Tamandua tetradactyla: one gene and its partners. The protein of the gene in region 3 binds, or shares a complex with, the protein of the main gene of each other region. Links are inferred from orthologs where the notes say so. Each region holds a gene or a part of one and is shown on either strand. Other genes may lie near its edges.

Evidence for each region. Proteins that work in one complex are often made in the same cells at the same time.
Region 1: PRPF8 (region 3) and LSM4 share a complex: the UniProt entries of both Homo sapiens proteins name them as parts of the U4/U6-U5 tri-snRNP complex. The link is inferred for Tamandua tetradactyla from reciprocal best matches to the Homo sapiens genes PRPF8 and LSM4.
Region 2: PRPF8 (region 3) and LSM7 share a complex: the UniProt entries of both Homo sapiens proteins name them as parts of the U4/U6-U5 tri-snRNP complex. The link is inferred for Tamandua tetradactyla from reciprocal best matches to the Homo sapiens genes PRPF8 and LSM7.

What each region holds. Positions count from the first base shown.
Region 1 is NC_135337.1:96,200,337-96,207,467, reverse strand, and holds the start of LSM4 (U6 snRNA-associated Sm-like protein LSm4), read right to left. Parts: upstream 3,084-7,131; 5' UTR 2,973-3,083; coding exon 2,970-2,972; intron 552-2,969; coding exon 510-551; intron 1-509. UniProt on the Homo sapiens protein: Plays a role in pre-mRNA splicing as component of the U4/U6-U5 tri-snRNP complex that is involved in spliceosome assembly, and as component of the precatalytic spliceosome (spliceosome B complex).
Region 2 is NC_135337.1:80,543,139-80,550,281, reverse strand, and holds the start of LSM7 (U6 snRNA-associated Sm-like protein LSm7), read right to left. Parts: upstream 3,084-7,143; 5' UTR 3,060-3,083; coding exon 3,054-3,059; intron 2,972-3,053; coding exon 2,881-2,971; intron 1-2,880. Other genes in the region: SPPL2B (signal peptide peptidase-like 2B), read left to right, coding at 3,189-3,260. UniProt on the Homo sapiens protein: Plays a role in pre-mRNA splicing as component of the U4/U6-U5 tri-snRNP complex that is involved in spliceosome assembly, and as component of the precatalytic spliceosome (spliceosome B complex).
Region 3 is NC_135332.1:55,445,975-55,453,034, reverse strand, and holds the start of PRPF8 (pre-mRNA-processing-splicing factor 8), read left to right. Parts: upstream 1-4,010; 5' UTR 4,011-4,120; intron 4,121-4,287; 5' UTR 4,288-4,298; coding exon 4,299-4,398; intron 4,399-4,901; coding exon 4,902-5,070; intron 5,071-6,020; coding exon 6,021-6,185; intron 6,186-6,269; coding exon 6,270-6,488; intron 6,489-6,615; coding exon 6,616-6,828; intron 6,829-6,947; coding exon 6,948-7,060. UniProt on the Homo sapiens protein: Plays a role in pre-mRNA splicing as core component of precatalytic, catalytic and postcatalytic spliceosomal complexes, both of the predominant U2-type spliceosome and the minor U12-type spliceosome.

The DNA of each region.
Region 1 (7,131 bases), on a different chromosome or scaffold from region 3:
TATAGGGCTCCTACTTGGAGCAATGGGTGCGTTCTGGTGGGGGAGGGAAGGGACAGCAGCACAACCGCAAATGCAATTGACAGCGCTGAGACGTGGACGCGAGCACGGTTTAAGGGAAGTGCAGGGCTGTACGCACGGCAACAGAAAACAGCCGTTCAGGGAAACCCATGCGTCTGCACCCCACAGGCTGTGGTCCCTAAGAGCGGACTACACTGAACTGGTCACCCAAGGAGACGGAGACGCAGGGGGCCCGAGCGGCTCACAGTGAAACGTCCCCTCAACAGCTGTGACTTTACGGACTGTGAATGAAACACCAACGAGAACCCCACAAGTGGAAAGGTCGTGTGACGTGGACAGGTGCCCCACCGAGCACTGAGGACAGAAGCCATCTTGGGCGACATGCCCCCCACGAGCCCATCTGGACACGGCAGAACCGCGGCCCCTGTGTCCACACATATCCAGGCCCGCACAGAGCCTGCGTCACCTCCAACCCCCAAACACGCACTCACCATGGGGTGGTTCTGCGCCGTCTTCAGCAGCGACAGGGGGAGCTGAAAGGCAAGCAGAAGCCGTGATTTGGGCTGCTGGGGCTGCACCTGGGGCAGATCCTACGCCACCCTCATCCCCACCCCACCTGCGTTCCACGGGGTCCCCAGGAGCCAGTCCGTCCCACAGAGCCACCATCTGCTCAACACCCCGGCAGCTCCCGCTGCACCTGCCTCATGGGGACAAGACCCAGGAGCTGGCCCAGGGCTAGAGCCAGGGAGCAGCAAAGCTGCGGCTGACCCCATGCCTGAAGCCAGTGCCACCAAACGCCACGCCAAAGGACAGCCGGGACTGGACCAAAACCCTGCCGGGCCCCGCTGGTGACACCTGAGCTGGGTTTGCAAAGAGGAGAACTCACCAGGTGAGAGGGAACATTCCAGAAAAGCCTGTGGGTATTGCAAATTCACCACAAAGAAAGGATGAGCTCTCTAGAGACATATCCAGATCCACTAAGTACTCAAGATACTCAATTTCTTTTACCATCATTAGAGATCTTTTTTACAGTTACATATATGATTTTTACGATGGGAAAAAAATTAAAGCCAGCTCTTTTCATTGTCGAGACAACAACCACGGAGGGCAGACTGTGGCTCTGTGTGGCGGCTGGTGCACAAGGAAAACGAGAACTGTCTCCCAGGGAGGCTGGAGACTTCCCTGTGACCCGACTTAGCCTCCCCTCCTGAGAAGCTCCCTCCAGGGACACTCTGGGGTCCACAGGACCCTGTTTTTCCAGGTGGGGGGACACGCAGGCCTCTACTGAGGGGAGACGTGGGACTGCCCGGCTATCCCAAGGAACCACCAGGGAAGGCCTGGTGCTAGCAGGAAGCCAGGCCCACGTCCACTTCCTCACCCGGTTTCCTGGAAGGGCAAGATAAGGGGAAAGGACGGCTGCATGGTGTGGGGCCACGCCCAGAACGCCTCTGGGTGGCTTGGGGGAGTCCCCGAGGGAAAAGGGGCCTCAGGCTGGTTTGTGTGGGCTGTACAACAGGTGGGTCATGACCTCCTGAAGCGGGGGCTTGCTCAAGCCTGTTGGACCCAGTCTGGGGAAAGGCCTGGGTGTCCGGTGCAGACCCCGGTTTGCATGTGACCCTGGGAGCACCCGACGGTGACCATGGACATCCTCATACGGTGGACACAACCTCTGCACCCAGGGTCAGGACGGCCCTGGAGGACCCTGCAGCCCCTCCCCACAAAGCAGTGCCTGAGACATCTGCCACGGCCCCCCCAGAGGCTTCTGCTCATCTAGCAGAAAACACTTGCCCTGACCTGCTCCTGTCTGCACACCATGCCCACTCTGCCTGGCGACCTTTGCCCCCATACCTCCCTGGGCGTCCTGATACCGCCCCTGCCCCGGGCCTGTTTCCAGGACAGGACTCAGCCAGTCTCTTCTTCTGTTTATTTATTATAACTCCCTGGCGAGTCCCCTGCTGGCCTGGAAAATTTTAAGGGAGTGTGGACTTGGTCCATACCCAGGGCCTGTCCCTGCCTCACAGATGAGGCGGCGTCAGGACTGGGAGGTGCCCCGGTCAAAGCCGGTCCAGGCCACGACAGAGCCCTCTGCCAGCCTTCCACATTCTCAGCCCCAAACTGCTGGAGAGAAGGCAGGGGTGAGAGACTGGTCCTCAGGGGCGTGACACCCCAGGGAGAGGAAGATGCACCAGATGCCACCAGGAGGAGAAAGGGCCACTCTGGCCCTCCCGTTATGACTGCCATGCAGACCTCAGGCATAAAGCCACGGAGGGCTGGTCCGAGTGGCCTCTCACCCAGGAAGCCTTCCGGGACCCCCACAGGGGGCCGTGATTCCCTTCTCGGGCTCCCCCGGGGCCCAGCCCCGTATGAGGGGAGCGTCTCTATGGGTCTGCTCTGGGAGCACGGAACCTCCCGTAGGGCCAGGAGTCGAGGACCCCGGCGGCCCATTTCCAGGAGATAGCCCTGAACACCCACGCTTCGCACAGGCTCCAAGGAGACACTACAGATGGGAACGAAGGGCGGCCCCACGGGGCTGAGGCCTCGCGGACCCCTCCTCCGGGTCCTGCCGGCCAGCGGGATGCGGCGCAGGTCTCCCCAGCGCGGCGCTGGTTGTACACCGGACCTCGGGCCGGACGGAGAGCGCGCCACGAGCCCTGCGCGGCCTCCCTTCTTCCCCGGTGCGCCGGGACAGGCGGAGCGGAAGCCTGGCCTCGGGCCCTGTTCCCCGGCCCAGGACGGTGCGGGACGGGCCGCGGCGGAGCCTGGAATGCGCCGCACGGCTGAGCGGGGGTGCTCTGCCCGGCCCGCGCTCCCGGCGCGCGGCCGGCCTCAGTTTCCCCGCCTGCGCCGGGGGCGGGGCTCGGGCCCCGAGGCATGCGCGCCCCCGGATCCCCGCGGCCCCGGTCGTCGCGACCCCACTTCCCGGCGAGGCCCCGCCGCCGGCCTGCCCTCACCATGGTGCCAGCGGGGACCCGGCCAGCCAGCCACTTCCGTCGCCGCTCGCGCTCCCGCCGGCTGCCGTTCCGCCGCGCGCCACCAGGCCGAAGAGGAGTGGCGGCGGCGCGAGCCAATCAACACAGGGCCCTGGGCCCGGGTAACCAATCCTCGGGCAGAGCGGCGGCTTCTGGGCACGAGGGCGGGGCGGGGGCGACTTCCCGTCTGAGGAGAAAAGGCTGCGGCCGAAAAGCGCGGCGGCGAGGGCTGCAAAGGGGGGCGGGGCAGCGCGCGGCGGCGCAGGAGGCCTTGTGGTTAGTGACGCATGCGCCGTGCGACGCTCACGCGGGCTCCCGAGCTCCACGTGGTGGGCAGCGGTTGTCACTGCCGGCGGCGGGCGGCTGGGCGGCTGCGGCCCCGGCCCGGGGGGGACAGGAGCGGGCCTGATGGCCCCCATTGTGGTTGTTACTTAATGAGGGCCTTGCGCTGGTTGGAATCCCGACGGCGCCCCTCCGAGCCTCAGTGTACCGCCTGTGAGATAGGGATAATAGTAGCCACTCTACGGGGCGCGGGGAGGACGGATTGCCGGGCCGGGAAAGCGCTCTGCCCGTGGGCGTGCAACCCGTCACCCCCGAGCACCTGCTCCGCCCCTGCTCGTGGAGACGCGGAAATGCTCAAACCTGGCAACCCCCCCTCCTAGGAACCAGTCCCGGGAGCCCGGGGAGCCCGGGGAGCAGGCGGGTGGATTCAGGCCCAGGGCTGCAGGACGGATTCCCGCACACTTGGGGACTTTCATCGCAGTTGGTCTCACAGCTGGGGAGCCCGGAGGCGGGAGGGAGCAGGCCTGCTCCACGCCCCTCTCCCAGCCCCCGGGGGCCGCCGGCCATCCCCCATGTCCTGGCTGCCCCACTTCACGTGGCCTTCTCCCTTTCCTCTCTTGTAAGGACAACTGTCCTGGGGTTTAGGGCGCACGCTAATCCAGGGTGACTCCTGGCAACCCTTAGCTTAGTGACATCTGCAAAGGCCCCATTCCTAAATCAGGCACACGCGCAGGTACCCGAGCCAGGAGGTAGGTGCATCTTGGGGCCACAGCTCAACCCGCAGCACCTGTTACTAAAGAAAAGCAGGGGGGTCTCTGCCCGATGCACCCAATGGCCAACTCCTTCACCGTGAAAGAGAGAATGTGTTGCTAAGCGTGAAGTAGATCAGGAAGTCTATCTCCCCGGGTCTAAGGAGTTGGATATTTTATGGATTCAAATAATGAAAGATGGAGTGTGTTTCGGTTTGCTAAAGCTGCTGAAATGCGATATACCAGAAATGGGTTGGCTTTTGCGACGGGATTTATTAGGTTACAAATTTATGGTTCTAAGGCCGTGAAAATGGCTTCAAGAGAAAGATCCCCAGGGCCACCGTGGCTCAGCAGGCAGACTGCTCGCCTGTCATGCCAGAGGATCCGGGTTCGATTCCCGGTGCCTGCCCATTAAAAAAAAGAGAGAAAGAGAAAGATCCCTTCTCCGAGAAAAGGCTGCTGGCGTGGGGAATTCTTCTTTCATGTGGGAAGGCACGTGATCAGTCTGCTGGTCCATCTCCAAAATGTCTCTGGGCGTTTCTCTCTTAGTTTCTCCTGGGGGGGGGGGTTCTTTCTGAAATCGCCCCCCTGAGCGCTCTTAAAGGACTCCAGTAAAGGATGGAGACCCTTCGGAAATGGGCTTGGGCCACGTCTGAATTAAAGTAGCGTGACCGAAAGGTCACACCACTGTAGGTCTGCTCCACAAGAATGCATTAAAGCAGTGTGTGTCTTTTCTGGGGTACAGAACAGTTATCTTCACAGCAGCGAGTATGAACAATGGCTGGGTCAAGGCCAAAACAATCACAATAGTAAGGGCACACAAAGGCTGGAACGAGTTCAGTCACTTCCAGCAATTTCAGGTATTAACTTTTGGTCATTCTACACCATAGAAGGAAAAAAGCATCAATATAATGATTCAGGAATCATTTACTCATTTTTAAATTCTAGGTTGTATCTCCTTCCTCTTGCTTCTCCATTTCCTCAGTCTTGCGGGATAGCTGGACAAAGACGATTCTAACTTTTTTTTTTTTCTGTTTTTTTAATTTATTTTTAATATTTTTTAATTTTTTTATTTTAACATTTGTTCCCCCTATTATTTGTTTATATTCCATATGTTCTACTCGTCTGTTGACAGGGTAGATGAAAGGAGCATCAGACACAAGGTTTTCACAATCACACAGTCACATTGTGAAAGCTATATCATTATTCAATCATCCTCAAGAAACATGGGTACTGGGACAAACAGCTGTACGTTTTCAGGCAGTTCCCTCCAGCCTCTCCATTACATCTTGAATAACAAGGTGATATCTACTTAATGCGTAAGAATAACCTCCAGGATAACCTCTCAACTCTGTTTGGAATCTCTCAGCCACTGACACTTTATTTTGTCTCATTTCTCTCTTTCCCCTTTTGGTAGAAAAGGTTTTCTCAATCCCTTGATGCTGAGTCTCAGCTCATTCTAGGATTTCTGTTCCACGTTGCCAGGAAGGTACACACCCCTGGGAGTCATGTCCCACGTAGAGAGGGGGAGGGTGGTGAGCTTGCTTGTTGTGTTGGCTGGAGAGAGAGGCCACGTGTGAGCAACAAAAGAGGCTCTCTTGGGGGTGACTCTTAGGCCTAATTTTAAGTAGGCTTAGTGTCCTTTGTGGGGTAATTTTCATATGAACAACCCCCAAGACTCGGGGCTCAGTTTATAGCTTTGGTTGTCTACACTGCTTGTGAGATATCAAGAATTCAACTTGGGAAGTTGAATTTTCCCCCATTCTCACCATTCTTTGCAAATATTTTTCCACTCACTGATCGAATCACTCTGGGATTTATTGGGGCATCACCTGGACAAACCGACAAAATCTCATGTCCTACCCAAGATTCCAAGTACTTATGGTGTTCAATCAAGCTATCAACATAAGTTACATTAGGAGATGCACTAGTCAAAATATGAATTTTGTACCAAATCAATTCTAACTTCTTGATGCTGGAAAGGGGCACCTGTGTTATGGGGTAGGGGGGTGAGACTGGTTGTTCTGGAGAGACTGGTGCCACTGGGTTCCAGGACTTAACTAGTATAGGAACAATGCAGAGGCTTTAAGTCACAGGAAAGTAAACTTGATAAGTAAAAAGTAAAGGTTTAAATAAAAGGAGTAGAAGGATTGTGATCAGATGGTTTGCACCTATCTCACGTTGGGGAAATAACTACAGAGATTTCAGATAGGACTGGGGTGCTCCATAGGGTTTTGGGGAACACTGGGCAGAATCTGGCTGCAGCCTGTTTGAGACTGACCCCCAGCACCTCCCGGCTCAATCTGAAATCTCTTAGCGATTGAAAGTTGATTTTATTTATTTTCCCCCTTTTGACCCCGGATCTGTTGCTCATCTCATGGTGTCAGGGGGGTTACCCATGGGGATTCTGTCCCGCGTTGCGAGGGAATCTTCCACCCCTGGGAGTTGTGTCCCATGTAGGGAGAGGCTGTGAGTTTATTGGCAGAGTTAGCGACAGAGGCCACATCTGAGCAATGAAGGAGGCTCAGTGGGGGTGACCCTAAGGCCTAATTTTAAGTAGGCTCAGCTTTGCCATTACAGAAGTCGGTTTCCTAAGGGCGAGCCTCAGGATTGAGGGCTCGGCTTGCTACACCTGGCGGTGCCGCTGCTTGAGAGGCCAGCAGGAATTCCCCAGGTGGGGAAGATTCAGAGTCCCGTGCTTTCCCGGTTCCTCAAGGGGATTGCAAGCCCCTTTTCATTTTATGCTGCAAACACTCTGTGATTCAACGGGATAGCACATCAGCCTGGACAGAACGCTGAGATTCATTTCCCTTTCTAGCTTCCGAGCCACATAAAGCTGACTTAGGTTGTCCAAGTAAATAGACCTGGCGGGTTAAGTCAGATAGTCGGCCACAGAAAATTTACATGGTGGGCGAAGTAAGCCTCTGGTCCCTTGGTCTCCCCGAGAAGCCGAGGCTCTAGAAGCACTGACTGCCCTCCCCTGCCCTGTGCCCACCTGACCAGACCAGCCCCGCTCAGCCTGCATCCGAGCCTAGCCCTTTGCCAGCCTCTCTGCCAGCTGCTGCCAGGGGACGCCGCTGCAGAGCTGGACACCCCAATGCCGGGCCTCAGGC
Region 2 (7,143 bases), on a different chromosome or scaffold from region 3:
GTGAGTGTCTTGGCCTGGGGCCTGACACACAGTGGGCCCCTGTGTGGGGCTGTACCCTTCATGGAACAGGAGCACTGTGGTAGGTGGGCACACCCTTGGGTGCGGGATGGGACCAGTGAATGTGATGGGAATGCCACTCCTGTGATTAAGTGATGTGATAAAGATGACGATATTTTGCAGACATAATTAAGGTCCCCAAATCCATTGACTGTTTTTTTTTGTATGCTATACAAAAAAAAAGAAAAATAATTTCATTCTTTTTCCATGTGAGTATCCCATTACTGTAGCACCATTTGTTGAATTTTTGTGTTTGTTTTGCTTGTTTGTTTGTTTTTTTGGGGGAAGTGCATGGATCAGGAATCGAACCCAAGTCTCCTGCACGGCAGGGGAGAATTCTACCACTGAGCTACCCTTGCACCCTCCAAAATCAGTTGACTTTTGAGTTAATCCAAAGGCGGATTAATTGGGGTGGGCCTGAACTAATCAGGTGAGCCCATAAAGGGAATGGACACTTTTTTTTTGATTAGAGAAATTGTAGGTTTACAGAAAAATCATGTACAAGATTCAGGGCCCCCATATATCGCCCTACTATTAATCCCTTCCATTAGTGTAGCGTATTGTTACACTTCATGAAAGACACTTTTATCTTGAAAGAATACTTTTATAATTGTACTAGTAACTATACTTGTTCTACGAGATTCTCCTGTTGGCCCTGAAGGAGCAAACAGCCAGGTGGTGGAGGGGCCACGTGGACTGGGAGCTCAGGGCACTAGACAGAAAACAGGGATCTCAGTCCAACAAATTCAAGGAACTGAATTCTGCCAACAACCAGTGAGCCTGGAAAAGGACCCTGTACCTGAGATGGCCGTGGTCCCACAGCAACACCTTGGATTGCAACCTTGTGGGAGACTCTGAGACAGAGGCCCCTGGACTCCTGACCTCCAGAAATGAAGACATCATAAATTTGTTGCTTAAGGTGCTACACTTGTGGTAATTTGGTACATAGCATAGAAAACTAAGGCAAATGTTTTGAAAAGCAAGAGTTGTATCTCATCCGTATATCCCAGTTCCAGCATAGTATAAATTGAGCCAACATTTATTTGGATTCAAATTCTATTCAAATTCTGCCAGGCACCTACTCTTTCAAGCGCTGTGTTTTCAACATCTCAGATGCTACCCAATTGCCTATACCTTGGGGAAGAAGGGATCAGGAGATCTGTCCTGTGAAATAAAGAAACTGAGGCTCAAAGTTTGCTGAATAAATGAAATGTGGTCAAAAGCTATGTCCCACACTACGCTCTGTCCTGTAACTATTTATTGAAGAGTGCTTTGAAAACTATTGCTTTTTTCTTTGCTTTGTATATATATTATACAAGAAAAAAAAGCTATGTGCTAGGTACCCTGCTAAACATGCCTTATGCCCTTTGATTATCACCACAACCTGATAAGGATTTGACAAATGAGGAAACTGAGGCTAAGAGAGGATAGTAACTTGTGCAAAGTCCCACAGCCAGCGCGTGGAAGAGCTGGGATTCTAACCTGTGCCATCTAATTGATGGGTTAGAACCAGAACCCAGAGTTAGACAGCAGAGCCACTGCCCACACAAGTTAGCAGAACTCGACTTGGTCCCTATCCTCAGGGCACTTACCATGTAGAATTTTTTAGATTCCAGTCAAAGAGTCAGCTGCAAGATTAAGCATCATATTAAGGAGCATAAACTCGCAAACTGTGATAGGCAACTACCAGGAACCTATAACCAAGGGCCTTGCCTGAGGATGGAGGTGGGCAGAGAAGGCTTCCCAGAGACAACAACCTTGATCTGGGAGAAAGAGAATGACTCTGGGAGTTATTCTGGTACAAACATTCCAGATAAAGAAAAAACACGTGCTTCACAGGTTGCACCCCCCCCCCCCCTTGCACGCCCCACCCCACAGGCCATTTTTTATCTTAAACAAAGAGGAGTCACCAGGGCAGGCCACCATGGCTCAGCGGCAAGAATGCTTGCCTGCCATGCCAGAGGACCCGGGTTCGATTCCCAGTGCCTGCCCATGTGAAAAAAAAAAAAAAAAAGAAAAAAAAGAAAGAGGAGTCAGCAGGGAGCAACTTGAGATTCAGTTTCTGTTTTTAACAGGTCCCTCTGCCCTCTGAGAGGAGACTGAAGGTGGGGCCCCATTCTCAAGCTGGGGCGAATTTGCCCCCCAGGGGAATTTGGCAATGCAGCGCAGTGATAGCTAGACTAGGTATTTGGTAGAAGTAAGACTCTGAATTTGAACAAATGTTAACTCAATCTACACCATGCGCCAGGATATATGAATGAGACACATCTTTTGCTTTTCAACACGTTTGTATTAGTTTTCAATGCTACATTAATTACCAACGACTTAAGACGTTTTTGGATGGGGGGTGGTAGTGCATGGCACTGGCATCGAATGGGTAGAGGCCAGGGATGCAAGTCAAAATCCTGAAGTGCCCAGGACCTATCAGGTCCCCAGGGTCAACTGCGGTGAGGCTGAGGAAGGGGGGGCATGAACATAGCCGGCAAACCAGTGAGGTGCTGGGGCGGCCCCCCCACCCCGGGGCGCCCCCCTCCCCCTGGCAGGAGATGGAAAGACAAGACCGCAAAGGAAGCGAGCTCGTGAATCCCGATCCTGGCCGCGCCGCTGTGACTTTGCGTTAAGTTTGTGCCTCAGTCTCCCCGTCTGCAAAATGGGCACAACAGTACCTACCTCCCGGTGTTAGGATTGAACGAGTTAGTCCATCTAAAGCGCTTAAAGCCGTGTCTGCTCATTGAACGAGCTGCCTAAGTGCAAGTTATGATAATTGATGTTACTATTTATTTTAAATTGTTCAAGGAGGGTGCTGGGTGGCGGGGTCCTCACCTTCGCGGCCTCCCTGAAACTTCACGCGGATCGTCTTGTCGATGTATTTGGACAGATCCAAAATGCTCTCCTTCTTCTTCTTCTCTTTGTCCTGTGTGGAAAGCAGACCTCGTGAGGCGGAGAGCGTGTCTCGGCCTCGCGCCGCCCGCCCCGGCACACCTCCGCGCGCTCACCGCCATCTTGCCGCCCCGCACCGCTCTGCGCAGGCGCGGCCTTCTGGCGCATGCGCGCCCCTGCGCCCCAGCGCCCCGGCGCCCCGGGAGTTGCCGGGAAACGTCGGCCGACGGCTGCGGCGGGGACCGGCTGACATGGCGGCGGCGGCGGCGGCGGCGCTGGCGCTGGCGCGGCTCGGGACCGCCTTTCTCCTTCTCGCGGCCCAGGTGAGGGCCACGCCGGGCCCGACAGTCCCGAAGGCTGCGGCTCCCCCCGTTCCGCGTCCCTCGGGCCCCTAGCAGAAACCCACCCGGCCCGGGCTTGGGACCAGCCTCGGGGACCCGCGACCCCGCGCTGGCGGCCCTCGGGGTCTGGGGACCGGCCGTGACCTTGCGGGCTGTTCTCTGGCCTGTACTCCTTCCCCGTCGAGGAAATCCTTCCCAGTTACAGCGTCACTCCGTCCCAGCCGGGGTTGTAGTTTGCGGGACCCCGTCCCTCCCTTCTGTACGGTTCCGCTTGTCGGTCTCGGAGTCACCGTCCGCCCCTCCCCGGCTGCGTGGCCTGGGGCAGGTGGCTGCCCCTGTCCAAGCCTCAGTTTTCCCGTATGCAAAAACGGGCATGATGCTAGCACTCCTCCCAGGGATTGTGGTCAAGGCAGGGCAGGACCGTAGGCCTGGCAGCGTCGGGGAGCGAATCCCCGCTCCCTTTTACTCTCTGACCTTGGACAAGGGAGTTCCCTCTTGGGGGTCAGTTGCTTGTCTGTAAAAGGGGGGATGAGAGGAGAGTTTTGTGGGTTCATTCCTATGCTACAAGGAGTGACCAGCCTGCTGGGCTCAGTATGTTGTTATTTAGCGTTAAGGGGCTCTGGTTCTAAAGGATAGAGTGGACAAGGAGGTAGCTGATGTGTATTGTCATAAACTCATCTTTCCAAACTCTCCCTTCCTCCCAAGCGCTGCAGCCCAGGCAAAAGTGCCCCTAAGAGCTCTCCAGATGCGCTGGTGGGCAGTTAACCTTGACTCCTCTCTTGCAATTCTAACTTAAAAGGTCTTTCGAATCTCTCTGCTCCTCTCAGTCTGCTTCTCTCTGCTGTAGTTCCTGTCAGATCTCCCTTTGGCCACTGTTGACTTCCCCCAGCAATCCCCTACCAAGCCATTTGCAACACAGCAGGAGCAATCTTTTCCAAATGTGTGTCAGCTCTGGTCACTTCCAGATGAGAGCTTCCAGCGGCTTCCTGTCTCATTGAGAAAGGCCTTTCTTTGTGATCCGGCTGCTCTGGGAACTTCCCTCCCTTTTCAGCTCTCCCTAATGGGGAGGCATTTATGGAGGACAGCTTGAGCTCTAGTCGCTTTTATAGCCCTCAAATACCCCTCCTCCACTTCTGGCCCTGCAAGTCCTGCAGTCTCACAAGTGCAGAGATACCTCTTCCCCAGCTGCTTCAGGCCCTCCCCTTCTTCCCCCATTGTAGCCTGATCACACTCTGTTTTCTGGCCTTCCTCACCAGTTCGTGAGCAATTTGAATAGGGGAATTTGAGCTCTGAAGATCTTCCCAATGAGAGAAAAGCAGGAAATGGGCAATGCATTATGGGAATGCCATGGAGGGGATGACCCGGAAAGGCTTTTCAGAAGCAGTGACCCCCTAGGAGTGTTTTGAAGGATGCGTAGGAGTTTGCCAGGTTGGGAAGGGAGAGGCTGTTGTAGGCAGTGGGAACAGTGGGTGAGAAGGCTGATGACTTATTTTAGGGACTGGTGAGGGGGCTTGCTATGTTTGGTGCATAGGGTGGTATAGGTATGAGGGGAGCTCACCTACCCCCCCTGGAGGAGGTGTCGCTGTGAAGGAGGCACAGATGGACCTGGAATGGAGGAAGGGAATGGGGTCCCCCAGCAAAGCTGCAGGCAGAAGGCACAAGGCAGGGCTGGAGTTCAGGGCATGGGCCAGACAGGTTAGAACCAGATTCTGAGGGCTCTTGTTGCTGAGGTGTTCATGCTTTGCCCTGAGCATGGGGAGCCCAGGAATGCTCCTGAGGAGTGCCAGGGGGACGTGGCCCTACCCTCCCAATAGCCTAGTTGCAACAGGCATACCAGGGAGCCCATGCTGACTGCGGCTCTGGGGCTCTGCCCACTTGGCTTCTGAGTCAGGGCAGTGGAAGCGGGGGTGTTTGAGTCCTGACTCCCAAGACTGGCTGTCTTGGAGATTGCTTGATGATGATCCCACATTCACTTGCCACCATTTGGTAACCCTGGACAAGTGAGTCGGCCTCTCCAGATTATATCCCCCTTCTCAGTAACAACAAAGCCTGTGAGAGGAGATGCAGAGGCCTGCGGGGCTGGTTACTCAGGCCTGAGTTGATCAGAGATCCCCTCTGCAGCCCCCACAAGCTCCCTTTACCACCCCTCTGTAGCCCCCTCACCCCACATGGACCCTCCACAGCCCCTCCTGCCCCTACCTCCCCCCTCCAGTGTCCCCCTTCACCCTGCCACCATGACATCTTTTTCCAAAGTTCCTGCATCCTTGTTTTTCACCCTTTCCTGAAATATCTCTTAGAAGGAGTCCGCCCCATAGCCCTGATGCATCAGTTTTTTTTAAAACTCTCCTGAGGCTTATGTGTCCATGGAGCCGCTACAGAGCCCCTGAGTGTGTGTTAGCTGTGAGGTGTTGGAAGGCTGTCTGTCTCGGTTCTCCCAATTCAGAATGATTGTACGAGAACTCAGAATCTGCATCCTTTTGAAGAACCTTCCCTGGTTCTTTTAGCTCAGCAGGTGAGAAAAACTATTCAAGGCAAGAGCTTGCCTTCTCTGAGGTTTGATAAAATCACAGTTTTTTTTTTTTTGAAGGCAGTTCTTCAAATTTTGGGAAGGAGAACCTGTGAAAGCTGTTTTGTATTCTTAAGTCACCTTTTTCGAAGGAACAGTTTCTATCAATTTTCATTTTACACAATGAAAGCTTTTCCTCTAAAAGCCCGTATCCCACAAAATGGGCGTCAGCAGCTGTGTCTTGCGAAGCGCTCAGCAGTGGATACTTTGGGTGCCATACGTCTGCATGTGCCCTGTTACAGCCGCTGGACTCTGCTTTTGCATTCAGAAGCAGTGAGAGGGCGTGGCTGTGTGCCTGTAAAACTTTTATTTACAGAAGCAGGGGGCTCTGCATTTGGCCTGTGGGGTGTTGGTTTCTGACCTCTGCCGAGGAGCAGACTTGCTGACAGCAAGGCCCTGTCTGTGGCCGTGACCTACTTGAGTGGGCATCTGGCCAGCACAGACTCCGGGCCCCCTGCTGTAGAGGGGTGGCCTCTGGGGCGAGTCTGGGAGGAAGGGGCTCCTAGTTCTGCCTCAGGGTCAAGAGGTACCCAGTGGTTTGCCAGTGGGAGAGGCTGGGGGAGTGGGAAGCCACCTTAGTGCAGCACCCCTGTCCACAACTTCAGGCCCTCCCTTCCCTCCTGAGGCTGCAGGGATGGTGGCCCCCTGCCCAGCTTCTTCAGGGCAGGGCACCTTCAAAACTCAACTTCTCTGGGTGTGCCCCTGACCAGCACAGTGAGGATGGGCCTGATTCTCATTTGATGGCTGGCACCAGGGGTCCGGCTCCTGCCTGAGATGACAGAGAAGGCACTGCGCCTGAGCTGGTGTCTGGGGTCCCTGTAGCCCCTCGCTTGGGGCACATGGTCAGCAGGCTGCTGGGGAGGGGCCAGGCTTGGGCCTGGGGCTCATGTGTGTGGTCTTGTGGGGCTTTTCCTCTAAAAGCCCATATCCCACAAAACGGGGGTTGGCAGGCATGACAGGAGGAGCTCCCGATGTGATTTTACTGAGTCCCGGAGCCAGGGGCCCATGTGCATCAAGACCCCTGGTCTGATCCGAACCCCTCCCCAGGCCCGCTTTGCCATGTCCCTTGAAGGCCCAGCCCTCCTTAACCTCCAGGAGCCTCCTGTCTGTGTTCCTATCCCTTGTATGTACCTCAGGTGGGCAGTTGCTGGCTGTTTGTACCTGGGCAGGTGCTCAGGGGGACCCAGAGGACCTTCCTCATTGCTGGCCCTTTGGGGCCCAGCCAGGCTCTACCTGGGGATTCTTCAGGGCAGGCACTAGGAGACAGCCAGGGCTGGGGAGGGCCACCTTGGGGGATCC
Region 3 (7,060 bases):
AACAAGTTATACATATATAAATATCAAGAGATTTATTATAGGAATTGGGTCACATGACATCTGAATTCTTTACGGCACGTTGCAAGTTGGAAGATCAATGAAGGTGAGAAGCCTCAAGTTGGGAACTTCAATGAAGGTAATGAATTATTCAGAAGCTGGCTGTCTGGAGTAGAGAGAGAAATTCTTCGGTGTGACTGCCGAAATAATCAGGTCTCGCTTTACTAAGGCCTTTTACTGATTGGATGAGGAGATTCCTCTACTTGTTGAAAGCAATCTCCATTGCTAATTGTAGATGTAACCAGCCACAGATGCAATAGATGACTAATGATATAAATCCATGAAATATCCTCACAGTAAAAATCAGACCAGTAATTGCTTGACCATATAAACTGGGCGCTATCATTCAGTTACATTGACACATGAAATTAAACATCACAGTGAAAGAGTGGAAAAACTGGAATCCTAATAATTTACTGGCAGAAATATAAAATTGTATAGCCACTTTGGAAAACAGTCTGGCAGTTCCTCGAAGATTAAACATGGAGTAACTACATGACCAAGCAATTCCACTCCTACGTATGAACCCTGTGGTAGTTAGATTCAGGTGTCAACTTGGCTAGGTGAAGGTGCCTAGTTCTACTGCTGTGGACATGAGCCAATGGCATGTGAATCTCCTCTGTTGCTGATTACATCTGCAGTCGGCTAGGAGGCGTGCCTGCTGCAATGAATGATGTTTGATTTAATTGGCTGGTGCTTAAATGAGAGAGCTCAGTGTAGCACAGCCCAAGCAGTCTATCATACCTCATCTCAGCACTTGCAGCTCAGCCCAGGCCTTTGGAGATGCAGAAAGGAATCATCCCCGGGAAAGCTGTTGGAACCCAGAGGCCTGGAGAGAAGGCCAGCAGAGATTGCCCTGTGCCTTGCCGTGTAAGAAAGAACCTCAGTTGAAAGTTAGCTGACTTTCCTCTGAAGAACTATACATCAGCTAAATAAATCCCCTCTTGTTGAAAGCCAAGCCATCTCTGTTGTGTTGCATTTCAGCAGCTAGCAAGCTAGAACAAACCCCAAGAGAAATGAAAACATATGCCCATGCAAAAACTTGTACACAAACGTTCATAACAACATTATTATTTTGGACATTGTATTCACAACAATAAAAAAGCAGAAACAATCCAAAGTTAATGTGGTATATCTGTACAATGAAATATTATTTGGTCATAAAAAGGAATGAAATACTAATACATGCTATCATAAGAATGAACCTTAAAAGCATTATGTTAAGTGAAAGAAGCCAATCACAAAAGACCACATGTTGCATGATGCTGTTATATGAACAATCCAGAATAGACAAATTTATAGAGGCAGAAAGTAGATTAGTGGTTGCCTAGGGCTGCAGGTTAGGAGTCGGGGGAGGAAATAAGAGAGACAGTGCTAAAAGATAAAAGGCTTCTTTGGGGGATGATGAAAATATTCTGGAACTAGAAAATGGTGATGATTGCACAACTCTGAATGTACTAAAGACCCACTGAATGCTACCCTTTAAATGGGTGAACTTTAAGGTTTGCACATTATATCTCAATAATGCTTTTAAAAAAATTCCCTTGTTCCCTTCGCCCAGCTTAATAACTTCTCATGCAATCATCGTACATCTATCAAAACCAGAAGATGACATCGAGACAACACTACTAAGGAAACTGCAGAATGTGCTAGGATTTTTTGGTATATACCTAGATGAGGTATTGCTGGAGTATGTGGTAGTTCTATACTTCAACTTTCTGAAGACTCCCTAAACAGTTTTCCACACTGGCTGGACCATTTTACAGTTCAACCACTGTTTAGAGCAATGCCACATAGTGAAGCTTATACAGGTGTTATAAATGTCATCACATGATAGTAATGGCAATAACAATAACAAACTTGGTAATGATGATGCCACTACCTCAGTCAGGTTGGTCTCCTCATTGTTCTCAGAACACACCAAGTTTGTACCTCTTTCTAAATTCTTACTCTAACAGTTTCCATCACCTGGCATTCCTTTTCCCTCCCCCTTTCTTTACTCCTATTAAATCATTCGCATCCCACCAACTCAGTCAAATCCCCTTTAATATTCTGCTCTCCTGTCTCTGAATTACATGAAACTCCACACCAACCAGCACTTGCCTGAACTCTCTCGCATTTTCCTCTAATTGTTTTATTGCAGACCTAAATTCCCAACTACACTGAGAAAGGGTTACATTTCTTCCATATTCTCCACCGTAAACTAGTTTGTTGACTGAGATTTAAAGTTGTTATTAGAAACAGTGCAAAGGATAGAGCAAGAGGCAGGAGATGGTGAGGAATTCAGGTAGCAGGACATAGGCAGAGCTTGAGGGACTCAAGGAACTTTTATAGGGTGTCCATTATTCACCCCATCTTATAATGAAAATCACTACCAGAGAGAGAAATGAGGATGGAGCTTGAGTGGGGGGGGAAAGATACCCAGCAATGAGTTTCCCATGGCCTCCTCTTGTTCTAACATAATTGACTAACTCCTCCTTGAGTATGTAGCACGGTGAAGTAGCCTGCCTGGAGCTCCCATCACACCTCATAGAAATTACCTGGTTTCAAGTTTGCTCTCCCTACTCTCCTGTGAACTCTGTGGGAGCTTGAGGCTGTCGGTTCCCTGGCTATATCCCCAACACTTGGGACTTTGTGACACTCAATGGTTGATGGTTAAATGAAAGAATGTAAGAACAAAGGATAGCTTGACCTGGATGGAGTTAGTACTGCATCTCAAGTCTGACTTTAAGAGAATAGATTTAAAAAAAAGTGTTTTTTTTTTAAAATTAGAACAGTTGGAGATTTACAGGAATATCATGCAGAAAGTATACAGTTTCCATATACCCCCCCTCCACACACTCAGTTTTTCCTGTTATTAACATTTTGCATTAGTGTGGTACCTTTGTTATAACTGATGAAACTATTATTATAAGTATTAAGTTGTTAACTTCAGCGCACTGTTTACATTAGGGTTCACTCTTTGCATTGAACAGTTCTATGGATTTTCATCCCTTTTCAAATACAAAATTCCCTTTTTATCCCTTTTCAAATACATAATTACGCAGTGTTAATAACACATTCAAAGTTGTTTCTCCATACCCAACATCCATTGCCAAAATTTTGTCATCACCCCAAACAGAAACTCCATACCAATTAAATTTTAACTCCCCAATCCCTTTTCTGGTAACCTATATTCTAGTTTCTGACCTTACAGATATGAATAGTCTGCTTATTTCACATAAATGAGATTATGCAATATTTGTCCTTTTATGTCTGGCTTATTTCACCTAACAGGATGTCTTCAAGGTTTATCAATGTGGTAGCAAACATCTTAACTTCATTCCTTTTTAAACTAAATAACATTTCATTGCACGTTATATCACATCTTATTTATCCATTCATTTGTTTAACCAACTCGGGTTGCTTCCAAAATCATTTGGCAACTGTGATTAATGCTGCTACAAACATCGGTGTGCAAATTTCTATTTGAGTCCCTGCTTTGAATTCTTCTGGGTATATACCTAGAAGTGGGATTGCTGGGATATATGGTAATTCTACACTTAAGTTTCTGAAGAATTGCCAAACCGTTTTCACATTGGCTGCCCCATTTTACATTCCGACAACAAAGAGCGTTCCCGTCGCTCCACAGCCCTTCCTGCAGTTGCCATTTTCCGTTTTCTTTAATAGAAGTCATTCTAATGGGTGCGAGGTGCTATCTCACTATAGTACAACAATGTGCAACTTTGACAAATTCATTACAGCTCTGCACGCTTTAGTGTCCTCTCGTTTCGCGGTCGGTCACTAGCCGCCAAGGGCCTCCGACGCATGCAGGGCGGGGCTTGCGCCTAGGCGGATTACATCTCCTCGCGTTCAAAACCTTTCCGCGCATGGCCCCGCCCCCTCGGCAGGCTATGCAACTTTAATTGGTGCTCTCTCCAATCTATCCGAGGATATCGGCGCCTATTGGATTAACTGCTAAAGCCCGGTGGCGCACTTCCCGTTTGGAACGCGGAGGGGACGCAGATTTTCCGCCATTGTGCGGCGGCAGCTACAGGAGCGGTCTGCGAGAGGGGCTGTGGGGGTGCGTGGTGGCCTGCGGGACGTGGGGTGGCATCGGGCGGAGCGGCGGGGGGGGTTGGCCCAGGAGAGACTGCAACGAGGGTAGCGGGGCCTCAGGAGCGCGTTCGGGCTTCTCTTGTTTTGGTCCTGGGCCCTGATGATTGATTTTTCTCTCCTGCCGCTCCCCAGATTCTCCCGGCATGGCCGGAGTATTTCCTTACCGAGGGCCGGGTAACCCAGTGCCCGGCCCTCTAGCACCGCTACCAGATTATATGTCAGAAGAGAAGCTGCAGGAGAAAGGTGAGGAACGTGAGCGGGGCCTGCGCGTGCGCGCCCCGAGACGTGGTGACGGGTGTGCGCGTGCGCGGAAGCGGGTTTTAGCTTGCCTTTAGATTTTGGCAGGTCAGCCTCCTCTATTGCCAGCTCCCCTATTAGCACCATTTATTTATTTATTTTTCAGTGAATCGAGTCTTTCCTAAGCGCCTACTATTGGCAGGCGCTTATCCAACCGCTAGGGATACAATAGCCATAAAGACAGTGTCCTGCCCTTAAAGGGTTTAAATTGTAGTGAGGGAATAGATGAAAAGTTTAAACTCTGTAGCATAATGTCAGGTAAGTGCAATGAAAAAAAAAAAACAGTAAGGTGACAAGTTTTAAGTGTGGGAAGTGATCAAGAGCCCTTAGATTCCCTGCTGGGTGTCCTGCCGTCCTTTGCTGGCCCTGGCAGGAGGTTACCCTAAAGCAAAAGGTGGGATAATTAGGTTTAAGGTGTGCAGTCTTTTAAACTGAAGGTACCTTTGTAGCCCGAAAATGGCAGCAATTGCAGGCGAAGCGCTATGCAGAAAAGCGAAAGTTTGGATTTGTGGATGCTCAGAAGGAAGACATGCCTCCAGAACATGTTAGGAAGATCATTCGGGACCATGGAGACATGACCAACAGGAAGTTTCGGCATGACAAAAGGGTCTACTTGGGGTAAGGAACACCCTGGAATTATTTCGTTGGCGTTTGGTTCCTTTCCTTTCTCCCTGCTCATAGGTTATAGTACTATAGAATAGATAGCTACTCTGTCATTATGGAATGGGACTCTACAATGGTAACCCATTGTGGTTACAGAATTTTCAGATTGGGATTCTGTGATAATTTTCAAATCTTCCAGTTACGTTCTTTTTTGATCTGATTTTTCTTCCTAATCTGGTGCAGAAGCTTTCATTTGTTCTATTGCTGCTAACACGTTTCTTCAGATGTCCTTCTGATTGAATGGGTGAAAGCCCAGAAAGGGTTACTTTGTTCACTTTGCCTGCACTGTAAATACACTCCTCTTGGATCAGAATTCTGAGCTTCGGGATATTTTTACCCGTGAGGATTCTGATTTCTTTTGTTTCTGTGGCCCCAAGGTGGGTGAGTACAGATACAAAGGCCTTAGCAAATCCCTGTCTCATGTGGACACAAAAATGTTAGCCACTTAATGAACTGGTCTAAGACAGCCATGGAAGTTCTGTTTATTTCAAAGAAATTTTTTGAGAACTATTATAGGGCCGTAACAGTGAATAAGGTAGTAATGATCTCTGCCTTCATGAGCTCATGGTCTAATGGCACCACAGACGTGAAACAAATGGTTATGATAAATTATGGTGACTATTATATTGTCATTTTTGGGGTTGGGGTACAGAGAATGTGAGACAGCCTGGAAGCTAGACAAGAGGGTATGATTTAGAGATACTGATAACCCAGTGTTGTGAGACTGTGAAGTTGAAGAGAAGGAGGAGCATGAGGTGAAGTTGCAGAGGGGGAGACAGTTCCTGGTCATGGGATACCTCTAAGGCAGGATTTTCTGTAGAATGTGTTACTGTGATACTGTGACTTTTGGACATAGGACTCCTTGTCATGCCTGATTACCTTCTCTTTTCTTCCTAATACTGCAGTGCCCTAAAGTACATGCCCCATGCAGTCCTCAAGCTCTTAGAGAACATGCCTATGCCTTGGGAGCAGATTCGGGATGTCCCTGTGTTGTACCACATCACTGGAGCTATTTCCTTTGTCAATGAGATTCCCTGGGTCATTGAGCCTGTCTACATATCTCAGTGGGGGTAAGAAGGGCTGGGATATGGTGTATGGGGTTGGTAGTTGGGGTCAGTGGGCAGGAACCGTTGTGTGACATTCTTGCCTTCCAGGTCAATGTGGATTATGATGCGTCGAGAAAAGAGAGACAGGAGGCATTTCAAGAGGATGCGTTTCCCCCCTTTTGACGATGAGGAGCCACCCTTGGACTATGCTGACAATATCCTAGATGTTGAGCCACTGGAAGCCATTCAGCTAGAGCTGGACCCTGAGGAGGATGCCCCTGTGTTGGACTGGTTCTATGACCACCAGCCATTGAGGGACAGCAGAAAGTGAGTGATGGTTGGAGCTATGATTCCTGTGGGAGTTCTAGAAACCCAGATGAGTATCTGGAAATGTGGTATAGATTGACTAGCTGGAATAACTCCTGACATGGGCTCCTCTTTTTTTTCCCCTTAGATATGTGAATGGCTCCACGTACCAGCGCTGGCAGTTCACACTGCCCATGATGTCCACTCTCTACCGTCTGGCCAATCAGCTCCTGACAGATTTGGTAGATGACAACTACTTCTATCTGTTTGATCTCAAGGCCTTCTTTACCTCCAAGGCACTCAATATGGCCATTCCTGGAGGCCCCAAATTTGAACCTCTTGTTCGAGACATCAACCTACAGTAAGTTGGAGAAAGTAGGAATTTTAGGTTCCTTGAGTCGATTAAAATCTACTTTTTGTCCCTACGATCCCAATGTAACTTCCGAATTAATCTGCTCACCCTTGATTTTTGTATCCTAGAGATGAAGATTGGAATGAATTCAATGATATTAACAAGATCATCATCCGGCAGCCTATTCGCACTGAATACAAGATTGCTTTTCCTTACTTGTACAACAATCTTCCACACCATG